Oryzias latipes: one gene and its partner. The protein of the gene in region 1 purifies or fractionates together with the protein of each later gene. This does not show direct contact. Links are inferred from orthologs where the notes say so. Each region holds a gene or a part of one and is shown in the gene's direction. Other genes may lie near its edges.

Evidence for each region.
Region 2: the proteins of pdgfrb (region 1) and rasa1 purify together in Homo sapiens (co-immunoprecipitation; 5 studies listed by BioGRID and IntAct, with this or other methods). This does not show direct contact. The link is inferred for Oryzias latipes from reciprocal best matches to the Homo sapiens genes PDGFRB and RASA1.

What each region holds. Positions count from the first base shown.
Region 1 is NC_019868.2:16,275,741-16,284,949, forward strand, and holds the end of pdgfrb (platelet-derived growth factor receptor beta), read left to right. Parts: intron 1-71; coding exon 72-182; intron 183-1,278; coding exon 1,279-1,435; intron 1,436-1,651; coding exon 1,652-1,818; intron 1,819-2,177; coding exon 2,178-2,290; intron 2,291-2,445; coding exon 2,446-2,568; intron 2,569-2,764; coding exon 2,765-2,876; intron 2,877-3,588; coding exon 3,589-3,688; intron 3,689-3,767; coding exon 3,768-3,873; intron 3,874-5,079; coding exon 5,080-5,378; intron 5,379-6,178; coding exon 6,179-6,329; 3' UTR 6,330-7,512; downstream 7,513-9,209. Other genes in the region: macrophage colony-stimulating factor 1 receptor 1, read left to right, coding at 8,318-8,369. UniProt on the Homo sapiens protein: Tyrosine-protein kinase that acts as a cell-surface receptor for homodimeric PDGFB and PDGFD and for heterodimers formed by PDGFA and PDGFB, and plays an essential role in the regulation of embryonic development, cell proliferation, survival, differentiation, chemotaxis and migration.
Region 2 is NC_019867.2:14,744,930-14,754,138, forward strand, and holds part of rasa1 (ras GTPase-activating protein 1), read left to right. Parts: intron 1-551; coding exon 552-604; intron 605-682; coding exon 683-833; intron 834-933; coding exon 934-1,012; intron 1,013-1,293; coding exon 1,294-1,417; intron 1,418-1,825; coding exon 1,826-1,982; intron 1,983-2,134; coding exon 2,135-2,222; intron 2,223-2,910; coding exon 2,911-2,991; intron 2,992-3,509; coding exon 3,510-3,667; intron 3,668-3,796; coding exon 3,797-3,873; intron 3,874-3,951; coding exon 3,952-4,124; intron 4,125-4,205; coding exon 4,206-4,365; intron 4,366-4,787; coding exon 4,788-4,930; intron 4,931-5,100; coding exon 5,101-5,216; intron 5,217-5,299; coding exon 5,300-5,383; intron 5,384-5,994; coding exon 5,995-6,062; intron 6,063-6,146; coding exon 6,147-6,235; intron 6,236-6,316; coding exon 6,317-6,394; intron 6,395-9,020; coding exon 9,021-9,155; intron 9,156-9,209. UniProt on the Homo sapiens protein: Inhibitory regulator of the Ras-cyclic AMP pathway. Stimulates the GTPase of normal but not oncogenic Ras p21; this stimulation may be further increased in the presence of NCK1.

The sequences.
Region 1 (9,209 bases):
TGGCAATAACAGTGTGTCCTGCTCTCACTTCTACTGTTCTCATTTCATCTACTATACCCTTCTTTGTGCAGCCACTGCTAGGAGGAGTGAGACTCAGGCTCTCATGTCAGAACTGAAGATCATGAGCCACCTTGGTCCTCATCTCAACATTGTCAACTTGCTCGGAGCTTGTACCAAACATGGTAAGAATCATAGCAAGCCCTATTTTTGCAATGAAATCACAGCCATTTAGAGATTTCTAGAAGAGTTTAATCATAGAAAAGTGTGTTTCTGAGTTAGTTCTTTAAGATAAGGCTATCATTTGATCTGTACAGAGGCTACACTGGGGAGGATTATATTCATGATAAGGAGCTTGAATCTTGTTTGCTAGAGCTGGATAATATCATAACCAACAGTTATGGGTTCTTGTGGAAGATAAAATTAATAATGTTTTAGTAACTAAAAACTGTCATGCTGAGGTTGTACACGCTGTGCTTTTCGCATTTATCAGCCGCATTACTTTCCTCGGGCTCCATTTTATTTTTAAGTAAATAGACACCCCTTCCCATTTTTTCTGTTCATGTTTAAGTTTGGGTTCCTCATTCTTTGAGAGGTTTGGACAGCCTCTCCTTTGTCCAAATACTTTAATATAGTATTGCCTCAATCTTTTACTGTTGAATTTTTAAGTTTTAAAACTTTTGGCGGCAGAAAATAATTCGAAAAACCCGTCAATAATAAATTGTAATTCAATAAGAGCTCTTGTATCTCATAAAATGGTGGAAATTTTGTTTTTGTTTAGAACAAATGTTTATTTTGTAACATATAGTATAACTGCTTTCTAATAGGGATTCCACAAACATACTATTTGATCATAACAAATGTATTTGATAAGCTACAAAATATTCACCAAAATAAAAGTCTAATTTGACCTCCGTTCTGTTTGCTGTTTGCTCCAAGTGCTACATGGTCCATCAACAGGCTGAAGATTTGTGGGTAAAATAAAAGCTAATCAATAAATAAAAATATTTATACTTCTGGCAAAAGATTATTTATTTTTACCGTTAATTAACAGTTAATGGTTGCTGTTAATTTACCCATTTTAATTGGAAATGACAAAAAGTTATAATACAATTAACTGCAGAGAAGAATCTCAGCTTTATTTTTATTTGAACAAAAAGTGACATGCCCAGAATTTTCCATGCAGTTTCATATTATGTCCTCATTATAAATAGCATTGCTAATAGGCAATTTTCTGCTCTTTTTCATAAATCTGTGTATGTTCTTTGTCACCACATGCAGGCCCTCTCTATCTGGTGACCGAGTACTGTCGCTATGGTGATTTGGTGGATTACCTGCACAGGAACAAACACACCTTCCTGCAGTACTACGCCGAGAAGAACCAGTACGACGACTGCCTCATTTCTAGAGGAAGCACCCCTCTCAGTCAGAGAAAAGGGTAAGGGGGGCAGAAAAACATATGAGATGTTTTATAAAACAGACTTTTTCCTTGGAATCCTGTCTCATTCCAAGAAACTGCTGCAGATGGATTTATGAAGTAGACAAATGGAGCCTGTTACAGATGTACAGATGTTTCACATGAGGAGGCACTACAATGCATATTTAGATATAGGTCAGTTAAGACTTTTTTTCCTTGCTTTTCTCTCGTCTTCAGCTATGTGTCCTTCGGCAGTGAGAGCGATGGAGGCTACATGGACATGAGCAAAGATGAGCCGTCAATCTACGTGCCCATGCAGGAGCAGATAGACACCATCAAATATGCTGACATCCAGCCTTCTCCATACGAGTCCCCCTACCAGCAGGACCTCTACCAAGATCAAGGTTTGCCCCGGCTGCTGTTAGATTTATGTCTGCTAAGTTAAGACAACTGTTGAATGTTGGTAAGAATCAATTTTCCATTTATGTAGGAGTGAATGAGGATGACAAACAAAGCATGACAAACACAGGAAACAAAGAAAATCAGAGAGATATGTGTGAAAAATAGGATGTGAGGCCACGTACTGCTGCTTTCAGAACTAGAAGTTCTAAACTCAGCTGTTTTTATGGATTAAACACGGATATGTGTGTTTTATTATGCTTTAGCAGAAAAATACAGAATTTTTCCTAGAATGTTGCAAGTTTTTTGGATGAAAAACGTATTCCTTCCTCACCTGTGTGTCTTTTCACCTCATTTTCTCCAGGAAGCACCAGCCTGGACTTAGTGATCAGTGATTGTGCCAGCCTCACCTATGAAGACCTTCTAGGTTTCAGCTATCAGGTGGCAAAGGGGATGGAGTTTCTCGCCTCCAAAAATGTAAGCTATCAAACAATCATCTTTCCGCTTCCGCCACCAACGTATCCCTTTATTTTGTTTTAAACCATTATTTTGAAAAAGTTAGTTTCAAACATGACTTGTATTTATTCGAGGAAAGAGGAAGAATAACTCAATTTACTTTTTTTCCAATGCAGTGCGTCCATCGTGACCTGGCTGCCAGGAACGTGTTGATCTGTGAAGGCAAGCTGGTGAAGATTTGCGACTTTGGCCTGGCCAGAGACATAATGCATGATTCCAATTACATCTCCAAAGGAAGCGTAAGTCGTAATGTAATGTGTGCTACTCTGCCAAAATGAAATGGTTCTCCAGCAAAACAGCATTTTAACAAATAAGATATAAATGGTTATTACACAACAGTCAGAAAGAAGCAAAGTGGAATCTTTTAACCCTCCTGACTGTGAAAAAATGAGGTTCTTTATCATCTAAGCTGCAGTGTATTTCTCTTTCTTTTAGACCTTCCTGCCCCTGAAGTGGATGGCACCAGAAAGCATTTTTCATAATTTGTACACCACCCTGAGTGATGTGTGGTCATACGGCATACTCCTTTGGGAAATTTTCACTCTGGGTGAGTCCGACCACACGTTCATAAAGCGCACACTATTTGTACCCTCAAACAAAGTTTTCATGCATGCAGGGGATTTACACATAGCTTTTAAATAAACTTCCCATTTGATCAATTTTTAAGTGTTGAACTCAAATAATAACAAAAAACAGTGCTCCAAATGTTCCAAGTCCATGTCTGACCAAGAACATACCAGTTAGTTTAAAGACCCAAAATCCTGTTAGCTACAGTCAAGCTTTTACATTTCTCTTGCTCTAGGAAATGTATTTTTTTTCTTTTAATCCACAATAGATCTAAGGAAGCTACCATGAAACAAAGGAGACAGTTTAGTGCATTTCAACCATTAACTCCAGTCATAAAAAAACAAACTTACAATCCAGCCTCTGTAAGTGACAAAGAGTCTCTGTTTGCTTGTTGGAAGTCAGCTTTCATTTGGACTTTTATCATATTTTTCCTATAGATTTACATGTGTATAAAATGTCTTGTTGCATGTGTCCAAATGTTCACCTTTAATAACTAATTATTTTAAATTTTGAATACATTTTTTTTTATATAATGAAAATCCAAGTACTTTTAAAACATACTGGGAAAAGTGGTCATTTCTTTAAACTACACATTTGGGATTGATTATATTTGACAGAAGTCAGACTTTGTAGTTTCAAAAAAGGGTTCCTAAGTTCTGGCATAGCTTAAAACCATTCTTGTTCTTCCTTAGGAGGAACCCCCTACCCAGATTTGCCCATGAACGAACTGTTCTACAACGCACTGAAAAGAGGATACCGCATGGCCAAACCTCCCCATGCTTCAGATGAAGTGTGAGTTTTTGTCAGTTGTTAAACGTAGAACTTTTTATGCCTACAAATTATACCAAAAAAAATTACGTTTGTGACGCAGGTATGAAATCATGAAGAAGTGCTGGGATGAAAAGTTTGAGAAGAGGCCTGAGTTCTCCTTGTTGGTTCACAACGTGGGAAACATGCTGACAGACAGCTATAAGAAGGTATTGAATCCATGCTAATCCACTTAACATCAGTTATTGCTCTAATATTCACTTCTGAATCTCTAACTCTGTTGCTTTACTTTGCTTCTCGTTAAAATGCTTTAAACATAAAAAAGTGCTCAGTTAAAGACCCACTTGTGGCATTTTTCTGATAATGGATTACATGCTGTATATAAAGTAAATTAAGCTTAAAATTGCATTTCTGAGTATTTATGTATTCCACTTGTTGTGAATCAGTGTGTTGTGAATTAAAAGCAGACGCAAAATGCCACTGAAAAAGCTTGTAAGAGGGGCACACAAATAACTTTGGCAAGACTTAAGCTCCCTGCTCTGCTCCTTTCTGATGCATCCAGTCGTAGACAACTAGATCCATGTACATGTTTGTTTTCAGCTGGAATATGGCTTAAATGTACAGCGACTTAACTCTGATTTTGCTCGCCATTTTTTTCCCCGCTGGTAATGTTAGATTGGGGTTGTGAGGGGCTGTTAGCTAGCAGGAGAGAGTATAAAAAGATAGATGATGGGTAGAAGGTAGGCCTTATCCATGCCAAAATTTAGAACCTTTTTTTAAAGCAGTGAGGAGAAAACTGCTTTTGTCAGTTTGAGTGCTTTTTTTGTAACAGTCTGGAGAGTTCCTGATGTACCTGGAGATGTTATAGAAATACAACAAATAAAGTTTTTGTGTCAGTGCACATCTGCTGCAAATGCCTTCCAGAGCTGATATCCCCAAAATGAATGCTGCATTTGAGGTTCTTAATTACTGTTGCGACCCATTTGGCAAAGCTGGAACGAAGACATTTGAGGAGCTGCTTTTATGAGATCAGTGCCTAAAGCTCCTTCCATGTTCACCGCTTTCATCAGGCTGATGGAAACTTAACATGATGCTGTCATTTTAAAATCTCCGCATCTTCATCCTATCAGATCTAAAAATATACAGAATTGTTCTTGTTTTGACCCAATTATATACTTTTTTTAGAATTTAATAATCCACTTCTGCAATCCAATTCTGGGACAGCCTCTTGTTTGTTGGTCCACTCATTTATTTAAAATACAATATCCAAACTATAAGTAGACTATTACTTAACTACTATTAGTTAAGTAATTACTAGTAGTAAACTGCTATAAGTAAAAATAGAGTAAACTTTAGAAGGACTCAGCAGCTTTTGCCACATTATTCTGCTTAGCAAGCATTTCTTCCAAAAACAGAGATACAGCCAAGTGAACGAGAACTTCCTGAAGAGTGACCACCCGGCAGTGGCCCGCACCAAACCCCGCCGGACCTCGCCCTTTCCCGTCGCTGACCCCACATTTGGCTCCCTGTCTCCTGTTGCCTTCTCCTCCTCTCCCGGTCCCACAGCCAACAACCAGAGCCAGAGGCCTGGAGAGCGCAGGCACGAAGCAGACGGGCAGGAAGTCGTAACTTCATATAATGAGTACATCATTCCCATCCCGGACCCCAAACCAGAGGAAGCTTTCGGCAGCATGCCGTCAGAAAGCCCTGAAAGGTACCGGACCGCTGCAAACACTCTGCAGATGTGTGTCAAAAACATGGGGCTGCAGGGGCGATGAAAATGTGTTTGCTTTTGTCTGCCACACACCCACTCATCCAGATGTTGAACTGACACAGTAGTTTATTATAAAAGCTTCATAGAGATGTATTTTTATAACTTAAATAAACACAGGACCAGGCAGGGACTTAAATCTACAAAAACTGCTTTTTTTTAAACACAGTAGACCAAACTTCATTTTTGTGTTTGTTTTGTTCACTAAGCCTTTCTAACCCCAAACCTTGCTTCCTTGTTTGAGGTCGGGTGGGATTTGAAGCCAAAACTCATGTTTTGAGCTCAATTGGTTCGTTTTCTGATGAATGGCCACTGTGACGCCTCAGAACTGCACTTTAGTAAATCACTACAATAAGACCTCCCACATTGATCATAATAATTCTAAATTTGCATCAACAATTTTACACAAAAGTCATTGAGAAAACATGTTTATGTAACAAAATGTTCTTTGAAAATGGTTTAAGTTAAAAGAAGAGCTAAAATAAATTATTTGGATACTGACAAAGAGGACAGCCATGTCCAAGAGCCGGAATCTTAATAATTAGTTTACTTGTGACAAGATTGTTTGCAACAGTGCTGGTCAGCTGATCTGATTGCTTTCAGATGTTAAGTAAGGCCTGCTCTGCCTGCTAAGAAAAGACAGTTTTTATGTTGGTAAATAGAAAAAAAAGAAAAGGCATCAAAGCAATGTTGCAGTAAATCTATGTGCTTCATCACATCCTAATCTGTCTTTTTGCCGTCAGCTCTCTGGCTGCAGAGGAAGAGGAGACTGACTCCATGTCGCAGGACACAGCTGAGACTCTTCCAGAGGATGAGCGCCTGGAGGACACCAGCGAAAGGGATGCTTTGCTGGGCTCCTCGGCGACCCCCGAGGTAGAAGACAGCTTCCTGTAGCCGTGCGTTCAAACCCAGAGACAACACAGCGCCTTTATTTTTCCCTTTTTCTTCACGGGAGGAAAAAAAACCTCAAATGTAGCAGAACTGAGAGGAAGAAGGAAATGTCTGTAGATCTGTGTAGCACTAAAAGAGGCATCTCTTCAAGTTAGGTACAGTTACTTAGTACGGTGGCACCTTGCTGACAGCTCAATACTGAATAAACATGGCACTCTCACCTACCTATAATGTTAGCCTAAACAGAATAGAGATTTTTCAGTGTACATTTAATTTTAAACCTTTGCCACATTATTAAAAAAAAGCCTATTCTTTTTATATTTTAAGATGAAATTTAGCTTCCAAATGATGCAAATAACTTTTTAGGTGAGCAATTATTTTATTTTGTATTTTTTTAACAGGAACAGAACAAAACATTCAAAACACTTTTTTTTCTAAATTTAATTACCACAGATTGCATTTTTAAATCATTGTTTAGGGTCAGTTTTTGGGTTTTCTCTCCTGGGTACTATCAGCAAATTTACTCTCTGTGTCGAATGTTTGTAAAATATCATGCATAGGACTTGAAGTACAGATTTATTTCCCTGTGCACTGTTTTAAAGTGAGATGTACTTTTTATGTAGCTCCACAAACTACAGTGTTTCCATATGTGAACTTTGTATAGCATCTTGCAATGGGGTTGTCTTTTGTGTAGAAATAATTCCTAGTTGTGTGCCAGTTGCACTTTATATAGAAAAAAAAAATGGACACACGGTATGTTAAAGAAATATAAGTTCCACTCTGAAATATAGAGCCACTACAGCATGACTGTGACTGTTACCATGTCCAGGATATCCTTTGTGAGAAAAGGTGACTCTCAATCAATGCAGCATATCACTGCCTTAGCACAAGATGGCACACAAGAGTGCCTTTGTATTGACTTTTGACTTGCAGCTACACAAAGTATGAAGGGCTACCAGACAGCTGTGCACATGTTATGCTCGTAGTCGTCCTTTGCCTTGGGTAACATACACATTAGTGCTTTCATCACCTGAAACTACACCTTTTCATTTCTGCTGAACCTTCAAAATTCACCGCACGATGTCATCGTCACAAGCTACGGTACCAAAGCTCTTTTTAACGTTTACAAATGTATTTTTGTATTTGTCGTTTTATAAATGTGTCAATAAATGCGTACTATCAACAATTCCTTGTGGAAAATTGAATTCTTCATGACTCCTAAATTAACTTTTTCTGCAGCAACACCATGTCTCCCGGCTCTAAAAACTCATGAAGCTAAATATTTCTTAATGATATTCACTCTCTAACACAGTTAAGGTCTTGTCCACAAATTCTGTCTGAATCCAATTAGAATCTTTTTTTTAAAGTTTGGTTATGCAGTGTACAAGGATCTGTTTGTCTTCATTTATTTTGAACATGTTAAAATATAGGACAAAAACTCCTTACACTTAATAAATACTGACATAAAAATTCATTTTAAAGTATCTGGTTTTTAAGAACTCCCAACAACTCTCAACAACCTGCTTACAGTCAGACTGTTCTCACCTTGTCCTGGCAGCCATGTCACTATGCAAAATTGACACTAGTTTATTTATTTGCTGAGCGTGATTTGCTAGCCCCGCCTCCCCATTACACAGAGCCCCCTCCTTCCTCCTCTCTCCACCACTTGCTCTATGATGTTTGCAGTGTGACTTCTGCATTCAGGAGACTGAAAACAAGCAGGAGGAAGAATAGGAACAGAGACGTGGAAGAAGGCCTCCGCTCTGGATGCTGGGAGCTTTCAAACTGCATCTCGCTGTCAAGCTATAAGCATCTGTTGGTGAGAATAGTTCAACTGATTTCGTTTTTATTGTGCCAAATGAGAACTTGGTGTTTTCTGTGAGAAAACATGACAATGCTGGTCTAAATGGTAAAAAAAAAAAAAAAGGAATCAGACAGAAAAGTTTCAGCCCTGTTTGACTTTGGATCTGCAGAACTGAAGCTGATCCAGGATGCGGCCCTACCTCACGCTGTTGTTGTTGATGGTGGTGCCTGCTACTTCAGGTAAGCAAGATTTCCCCTGCTTTTCTTCCATCCTTTCTTTTTTGGGCGCAATTCTTCTAAATCCAATTGTGCTTCCACAGTCTCAAATCAGTGAATGAGAACTTACCAGAATGACAAAATCAGTACGACTAGCAGGACTAAAAACAAACCTGTAAACCTTGGATTCTATTGTTGTTGTGGATGATTTCCTTCACACCACACCAAACCAATTAGTTATGTAACACTCCACTGATGTTTTAATTGCGACTTCTTGAGTGGCTCACTTTACAGCCGTGACAAACACCTCCAATAACTAACATCGTCATGACTTGCTTGGAGGGTCCTTCCTGAGATGTGTTTTTTCTTTTTCCTGTCTAATTTCATCAATTATGAACTGTCTGCTGATCAGCAAACATACTGGTTTATCTTATTTCCATTAGAGCATGTAAAATCTGGTGCTGATGTTCGAAATAGAGTGAAAACCCTTTTGCAGCCCATGGGATGAGTTTCACCTTAAAAAATAACTTCAAAATAGGACAAAAAAAAGCCAGTGTCATCCTAAACAAAATACATAGATGGAAACCACAAACATACCTATATGGTATTTTGCAAAAATCCAGCCATATATATATATAGTGGTTTCCATCATAGCATAGCATTATAACTTGTGCAAGATCTTTTGCTTTTGTTAATTTGCAGAAAAAATAAAGAAACAAAGAATTGGAAGTTTTGAAAAAATAGTATGAGTTATTATGAGGTTGAATAAGTTAAAAGCTCAAACACCACATTGCTGATTAGCACAAAATGTTGTTTAATTCCCAGTTTCACTGAGGTGTATTGCGGTGAGGAGAAAAACATGCT
Region 2 (9,209 bases), on another chromosome or scaffold:
AGCTAAGATCAACTAACTTTAACTTTTTACCTATTTAATTCAGAAGTGGATAGGACTTCAGACAAAATGATGGTCCTCTCACCTTTAGCTGGATTGTGACCTTGTTGGTGTTGTGTGTTAAAAACAAAACAAAACCCCACACTCAGGAAAATGACATGACTCTGTACGTTATCGATATCTCAGTAGTGGTTGCTTATATTCTTGTTCGTGTGTTGTCCAGTTCTTTGGGTTCCCTCATCATTAGTATTTTTCAGTCTTTTTATCCTCTGCTGGTTGTTTTTTTTTCAGCCAATCTTCCAATAGCTGTGAAAGCTAAGCGATTAAGAAGAAAATGAACTGCAGTTTTGAGATAAAAGGGGGTAAATAATTGATAGAAAAAACATTTTAAACCCATGAGAGTTTAAATAACTCCAAAGTTTAAATGTATAAGCACTATGTAGAAAAGTTCTTCTAGATGTTGTTCTTTTTTTGGATTTTACAATGGTTAATTGTGGTAGGTGTTCTAATTTATCTTAATTTCATCCTTATTGATCTTTCTTCTGCATCTCCAGCTGGTATCATGGAAAGATCACAAAACAAGAGGCTTACAACCTTCTGATGACAGGTACTGTTGTCTCCATTTCTATGGAGTAGAAATAATCGGGTTATTCACAAAACCCACCTACCTTTTCCTTTCCTGTAGTTGGTCAGGTGTCCAGTTTTCTCGTCCGGCCATCTGACAACACTCCCGGAGACTACTCCCTCTTTTTTCGCACCAATGAAAACATCCAAAGGTTTAAAATCTCCCCCACACCCACCAATCAGTACATGATGGGTGGGAGATACTACAACAGGTGTGTGGCGATGAGCACCAATGTATATGTCAATGTTTCGTACCATTTGAAACATGTGGATCACACATTAGCTTCAACTGTTTTGTTTTCTTGTTTTTAGTGTTGATGACATCATCGACCATTACAAAAAAGAACAAATTGTTGAGGGCTACAACCTGAAAGAGCCCGTTTCAGTGCAGGTATACATGGTTCCACACAGTTATTCATCATTACATAACCTTTTTAAGTTATTAAGATGAAAGTTTAGTTAGTGCAGCTCTTTTCAAGACATGAATACATTTTTAAATGTGCTAAAAAGCAGATTAATATTTGGCTTTTACCATTTGTATTTATTTTGAAGAAAGTAGTACATTTTTTTGTTTTGTTTCTTCAATGTCTCGCTTTAGGCAATGTTAGCTACGCATTGAACGAGTTACGCATTGGTGCTTCTCTAATGGCCTTTGATCTGCTTCTACTGTAGCACCAGGAACAAGTGCTTACTGACACAGTGGATGGCAGAGAAATTTATAACACTATAAGACGGAAAACAAAAGACGCTTTTTACAAAAACATTGTCAAGAAAGGCTACCTCCTGTTCAACAAAGGTATCTATGACCTCTGTCTGCTCCAGCACTTACAATAAAGCTTTTGTAGCCTCTGGGCTTTGATGATTTACACTGCCTGGCCAACATAAATCATTAATTTTGTTGGACATCCCGTAGCTATTATTGAATCCTAGCAATCTCATCTTGGAATAAGCCATCAGGAAAAAAAAAACTCCGTTAATGGAAAGACCTTGGCATTTATTTAATTGATGTTGTCAGTTGACCTAATGTTTAGCAGACATATTAATCACTATAAAACTTTTTCAATGGGGGGCTTCTGCCTTTCTGCTTAATACAATCTCTGTGGAGATTTTTCTTCATTTATTTATTTAGCCAGACAGTGTTTATCAGAATTTTCTCATTTTGTTCACGTCAGTCAGAACCCTAAATTCCCCCCTTCATCTTCAGGCAAAGGCAAAAGGTGGAAGAACCTTTACTTCATCCTGGAAGGTAACGATGCACAGCTCATCTATTTCGAAAGTGAGAAGAGAGCCACCAAACCCAAAGGGCTGATTGACCTAAGTGTGTGCTCCGTGTATTGTGTGCATGACAGTCTGTTTGGCAGGTGGGACATCAAACATTGGCTGTAAAGTCCACTCATCTTTGCATTTTGAGTGACAGCAGCTTCATGGACACCACACTGAAGAAAATTCTTTTAGCATTTGACACATATGAACCTAATACCCTTTATTCTTTTGTTTTGTTTGAACTTTTCAGGCCAAACTGTTTCCAGATTGTTGTCCAGCATTTTAGTGAGGAGCAGTACATATTTTACTTTGCAGGAGAAACTCCAGAACAGGCACAGGTAATGAGACTGATTTCTCTTTTTTGTGCATCAGCTTTTAGAATGTTACCACTGCAGTGGTTATTTTTACCTGACTGCAGTTTTCTTTCACTCATTTGTTGACTTGCTGATTAAAAAAAAACAAAACAAAAAAAAAAACTGTCAGCCTTTGTTCAATTAATCTTCATTTACAGTTTGCTGTAAGCTGTATACTTAAAAACATTTCAATTTCAATTCTAAAAAAGGCATTTTTAAACTACATTTATTATTCTGACATTAAAATATAGTTGTAATATATTTCAGAATGGCAATACATTGTTTGCATATTTGCTATGTGACCTCAAAGAGTCTGAAAAGGTTAAAGGCAATCTAATTCTGATGAATTACCCAATATCCCCCTCTGTCTTCCTTATAACAAGCCTAAACATGCTTGGTGGGGAATAGAACTGCCCTTGTGGCGTCAATGTGGGCTTCAATTAAACCTGTTTTTTAAGATGTATTTATTCAGGGGATATTTTAATTTCAATGAGTGGCACTGTACAGGAATCAAACCTTTGTTTCCTGGATCACATGTTCATTCAGAGTTCTGTCGCCTCTTTTTTTTCTGTTGGACCTTTTCTTGTTATTCTTAGGCTCCGTTAGAAATGTGGCAGAAACCCGAATCTTTTGGGGGTCTTTTGAAGAACTTTAAATACGTGTGTCTTTGCAGGATTGGATGAAGTGCCTTCAGACTTTCTGTACCAACTTAAGAAAAACCACTGTAAACACCTCCAATAAAAGGCTCAGACAGGTACGTATGTCAAGAGTCTGCTTGGTGTTCCCTGTGACCTGGTTAAATGCAAAACTTTAAAATGGTTCTGGTCCAGGGGGGGGTTGGCTCTGACTGAGCAGCATGCTGCTGCCAAACCTGCCTTTTTTCCCAACTCCACGTAGCTAAAAAAATCTGTTTGGAAATTCCTGTCTCTGGATGCTCACAACAGTTTAATAAAGCTCAAAATAAACCAAATGCCATACACTGCATTCTCATTGGTTAGATTTTAACTACGGTAATGAATGAATGTCGAGCTACCAGCTATCTACATTCCTGTTTGCATGCACGAGAATTGTACTTACAAGGAAAATCACTAATTGACAACCCAATTCATGGACTGAACTATAGAACAATTATAGCTAAGCATATCAATGTCATGATTGTAATGAAATGTTTGAAATCAAAATGTTTAATTTAATGTTTAAGGATGTGGATTGACACTTCATCATCCTTTTTTAAAATATGTTTTGTCTATTTCAATGCTGTCTTATTTGTAGGTGAGCAGCCTGGTGTTGTATGTGGAGGAGGCCCACAAGCTACCAGTGAAGCATTTCACCAACCCCTACTGTAACATCTACTTGAACAACGTCCAGGTTGCTAAGACGCACCCGAGGGAGGGCCAGAATCCCGTCTTCACTGAGGAATTCATTTTTGAGTAGGTGTTGTTCTTGTCTTTGTTTCCCAGCGAAGTGAGGTACTTTGAATTCTCTGAAACCTGTCATGTCTTGAACTGACATTATCTGTTTGAGCACAAATCTAATGAAATGTGTTTCTGTTGTTCCAGTGATTTGTCTGGTGAAATCAATAGATTTGAAATTAGCCTGAGCAACAAAACAAAGAAGAGCAAAGAAATAGACATCTGTGAGTACATTTCAAATCGAGTTTTCACACCGTTCTTTGTTCCCCCTCAATAATTCAGTTTTTTTGTCTGTCCTGCAGTATTTATGCGCTGCCAGCTAAACCGTCTGCAGAAGGGCCAGATGATTGACGAATGGTTCCCCCTCAGCTCCCACATTCCCCTAAAAGGCATCGAGCCGGGCTCCCTGCGTGTACGCGCCCGCTACTCTGTGGAGAAAATCATGCCGGAAGAGGAGTACAGCGACCTCAAGGAGGCCCGTTCAAATCAAGACCTGTTCTGAGATTTCTGCCTCTACCGTCAGGGATCTCACAGTGTATTGTTTGGTTTTATGCAGATGATCTTACAGAAAGACTTCCACGTCATCTATGCTTTGGCACACGTGTGTGGTCAGGACCGCAGCTTACTGGCAAGCCTCCTCCTGCGGATCTTCAGACATGAGAAAGCTGAGGCCCCTTTACTCAGGACGCTGAATGACAGAGAGATTAACATGGAAGGTAAGACATGCAGGGACGGTTTCTTTTGGATGATCATTTTAGCATCACTGCTTCCATCTGGGTTCTGTTGGACACAGAACATTGTTTACAAAACAAGGTGGAGGTTAAAGGTGGAACAAAAATCCAACACTTTCTTCCTTGAGGTATTGTTGTATTTCTTTTTATGTGGAAGGAAATTGAGTATCTGTCAGCACACATCATTTTCAGAACTCTTCCCTGTGTTTTTCTATTGCTGCTAAGAAAACGATATCAATAAAGCTTTCTGGAAACAAACAATACTATCCCAACATGTTCCTTTATTGCCTTTCTCCAGAGTTTAGCTATTAATAAAAAAAGATTGTTTTGATAGCTGCTGCATCCTTTCTAAAAGTTGTATCTTTTAATTCTGAGTGAGTCGAGCTCTGCTTGTGTATCACCATCAGATGAGGCCACCACATTGTTCAGAGCAACAACACTGGCCAGCACGCTGATGGAGCAATACATGAAGGCTACGGCCACGCCCTTTGTCCTCCACGCTCTCAAAGATACCATCCTCAAGATCATGGAGAGTAAACAGTCCTGTGAGGTGTGAGGCTTTCAATCTGCTGCCCAAGCAACTAACATATAGACTGCATCCACTGATTAACTTCAATTATTTCCTTAAGCATAAATCTACAAACTCTAGCCCAAAAGTAAGAAGGTATTTGCCCCAAAAATAGTTAACACGTCTGTTTTACTCTGTCCCTGCAATTTCAGTTGAATCCCTCAAAACTGGAAAAGAATGATGATGTGAACCTGAACCTTGCTCATCTCCTCAACATCCTGTCAGAACTGGTAGAAAAGATCTTCCTGGCTGCTGAGATCCTGCCACCGTAAGCCAATGAAATTCCATGTTTGTTTGGGACTTGTAATGGCCATTTAAGGTCAAAGGTGTTTTTTTTGCTCTCTCCTACAGTACTTTGCGTTTCATCTACGGCTGCCTGCAGAAATCTGTGCAACGAAAGTGGCCGAACACCACCATGAGGACGAGGGTTGTGAGGTAAAAGTACACTTTTTCACTATTCCTGTAGTATTTTTAGTCAAATGGAAAACAGTTGGTTCCAAACCCGATAGATTCAGGTTAATGCAGTACTAGCTTCTGATGCTAAATCTTTCAGTTACACTCAAGTCTACTATGAATCCTTTTCTTTCTTTGTCAACTATATTGATTACTGCGGCCCATAGTTTATTGCGGGGGTTAAGCTCTAAAAACAAACTAACACTAAAGGTAAAATCCACCAAAAAAAGAGCAAACACACTGAAAGAAATAGGTGAAACAGCAAGGCTGCTATAGGTGAACCTCAGAATATTGAGGGCCCACTATAGTATAAACTTGTGACACTTCAAGTGTTTCTTGAGCCTCACTGATTCAGGAATTTCGCCTTTTGGTGGTGGGGGTGCCATTGCATTTATACTTTCACATTTTGCAGCATTGGGATGAACTTGTGTGAATGCTGACTGTTGGAAGGTATGCCAACACTCTAATTGTTGTCACTGACGGTCTGTATACAGGCTTTAGTGGTGTTGTTTTTTTACTATCACTTGTCTCTAGAATCTGCTGTTGCACCGCGGTTAACCTCATGATGTTGCCTTTTTTTTCTTTTCTTCTAGTGGTTTTGTCTTTCTAAGACTGATCTGCCCTGCCATCCTCAACCCCCGGATGTTCAACATCATTGACGGTGGGTATCTATATAAAACCACAAGGTTCTGCCTGCCACATGAAGCAGGTTTCATTGTTTTCACTTTCTGATGCTTGTCTGCAGACCCTCCATCATCAACAGCAGCCCGGACACTCACACTGGTGGCCAAGTCTGTCCAGAATCTGGCAAACCTTGTTGAGTTTGGTGCTAAGGTACAAACCGAGAAACTGTAGGTCTCAGCATCATAATTATGTCAAATAAACTGTTTTTCTGTTAATTGTTTTTTTTTACAGGAACCCTACATGGAGGGTGTGAACCCTTTCATCAAATGCAATAAGCAACGGATGATCATGTTTCTGGATGAGTTGGGGGTAAGTCAAATTGTTTTATTTTGGTTTTTCATTTTATAATTAGAGCCTTCACAGGGCTCCAGACTAACTATTTTCACTAGGAGCACTGTGGCCCCTAACTGAAAATTTTAGGGGCACAACCAGAAAATTTAGGGGCGCATACCGTAAATCAACATTCTAACCAAATCTACTAATTTCCACTGTATTACTGATAAATACTTTAATAATAGATGCATAAATTACAATTAGCTGTTCCAAATTCAGTGTCACATTTTAATCTGCACTTTTGAAGATGCAACAAGAAGGTAAACTGACAGTACCATCGCTGTCATGACAGTACAAATAGTAAACAAAATACCATACATTCAGAAGTTTTTAGTAACAAAGTAACCTTTCGGTCATTTCACAGTTACAAAAAACACTTAAATGTATGTAAACATTAGAGGATGGAAATTCATGTTGGCGACACCAAATAAGTGCAGCCAAGATGCACAATAAGCGTGTTTGAGATCACCCAGATGGACGCAACGCTGCGCAGATCACCTGGTGTGAGATGTATATTTTTGTTTTTGCTCCAACATCACCTGTCAATCAAAACAAAAATATCACCAGAAAGGGGTGGTAGCAAGGCCCCAACCTACACGAACACAGCTGGAAATTTAGTACTGAACTGACTGAAAGCTGCCCTACAGACTACAAAACAATGCATTATGGGACATGTGTCCTGATGGGTTTTTGTAGTTCAGTGATCAATTAAAATAATTTAATATGCCAACTGATTGAAAATAGGCTACATAAATTACAAAATATTAAAATAATTATAAAATATATATCACAAATCACAGATCATACTCAGGGGAAGAGGCATATTAAAACTAAATTGAATGTTAAGGACTACAACTTCCTGTTCTCCTTAAGTCTCGCTGCAGCTTCGCCTTAACCCCACCCCCCCCCCCCCCCCCGCCACAGGCACGGCGCTGGTTCATCTTAAACACGTCTATCGTTACATTTTCCCCACATGTTTTAAATGTGTCTAAGACTAAACCGTGTTGTCGCTCACACGTGTTTAATGTTAGAGCCCCGTTGGCTGTCACGCATGTACGTGTGGGACATTTATTCTCCTCAGCTGACCATCTCCCGCGGGAGCGGTGTCATGCCGTTACAGCCGTGCATGACAGCCGTGGTTAATTCACGAGTTTGAGACCCCTGCTGTACACTCTGGCACTGGTACACTAGCTGCAGGTCGGAAGCACGAATCAATAGTTCGCTTACTCATAGCTCAGACGCACATATCAGGTTGTGATGATATTTGTCTCCGTTTCCTTCCCACAGATGTTTACGCGCGCTCGATTATCTCTAGGCCCCTCCCCCTCCACGCATTTAGCCACTTACAGTGGCTTTCCCTGTTCTTCTCACACGCAGTGGCCGCCTGACAGACAGGCGTCACGCGAGTGTGTGCTCGCGTTTCATGAGTATGTATGCGAGTGTGTGTGTGCGCTCGCGTCTCATGAGTATGTGTGCGAGTTTGTGCGTGTGCGCTCGCGTCTCATTGATTATTGATCATTGACGTGCCCCTTCCATGTTTAATGTATAAAAAATACGGAGGGTGGGGGAGGCAAATTTACTGGTCGCACATGTGCGACTGGATGTAAAATTCAGTCGCACACTCTCAATTTTTGGTCGCAAAATGCGACCAATTGGTCGCAGTCTGGAGCCCTGCTTCAATCTGTTGCTGACTAAAAGTGAATCCAGGTTTAAAGATAACCTTAGAGTGGGCTCAGCTACCTTTAATGCTACAAGAGCCATTTGGTCCAGTTTCTCATTGATCAAAACACGACAAGAGCCAAAATTCAACCGTTTAAAAAAAAAAACACTTTCTTTGGCTTAGTGTTAAGTGTCATTTTTAAAATTTGGCTTTTAAAGATTTACTAAAATTGAATTATATCAGTGTTGTGTTTTTCTATATACAACAATTTTAACTAATTTTTGACAGAATAGTCCCTTTCAAAATAAAATACACTCTGTGTCAAATAGGATCCTGCTGCAGCAGATTTACTTGAGAGAAAAATCTTGGTGTCTTTTATTATTATAACTTTGGTTATTATTATTAATTTAGACTTTTTCTACTTTTGCTATCAAATATAAATATGACAGCTTTGGTGTAGACTCTTTTTTTTAAATCTATACATTTAAATATATATGGGGACTTTGCCTCTGAACAGCAACTAGACATTTTTGTACAGCAGGAGATAAGAATATGCACTTAAAACTATTTTGTTCAGTTATTTGGTATGTTAAAAATCTAAACAAATGACAAAAAGCAAATGCATTAAAACTGCAAGCCCATTATTTATTCAAATAATTAGCCTTTTCTTTACCCTTGTGCTATCCTAGGCATTTCAGTGCGCTGAACCTTTTTTTTCTTCAATGATTTGTGATCTTCACTGGTGTCGATGGATTACATGAAATCTTTCCACCTTTATCCACCTTTGTCATGGTAGGGAGAACACGTCAATGTAAGGGTGGGGTCATCTAAGATAGCACAAGGGTTAAAAGCCACAGAGGGCTAAAAGAGCCATATTTGGTTGCAGACTCCTGCCTTAGCCGGATCAACATTTAATACAGCAAACATCCCTTCTGTTTATAGAACGTTCCTGAACTCCCAGAGACAACAGAGCACTTTAGGACAGACCTGCCCCGAGACCTGGCTGCGCTGCACGAGGTCTGTGTCGCACACTCGGACGAGCTCCGCACCCTAAGTAATGAGAGGGGAGCCCAGCAGGTCAGAGTCAAACCTTCTGAATGTTGATTTTTTTTGGGGGGGGGGTATTTGTTC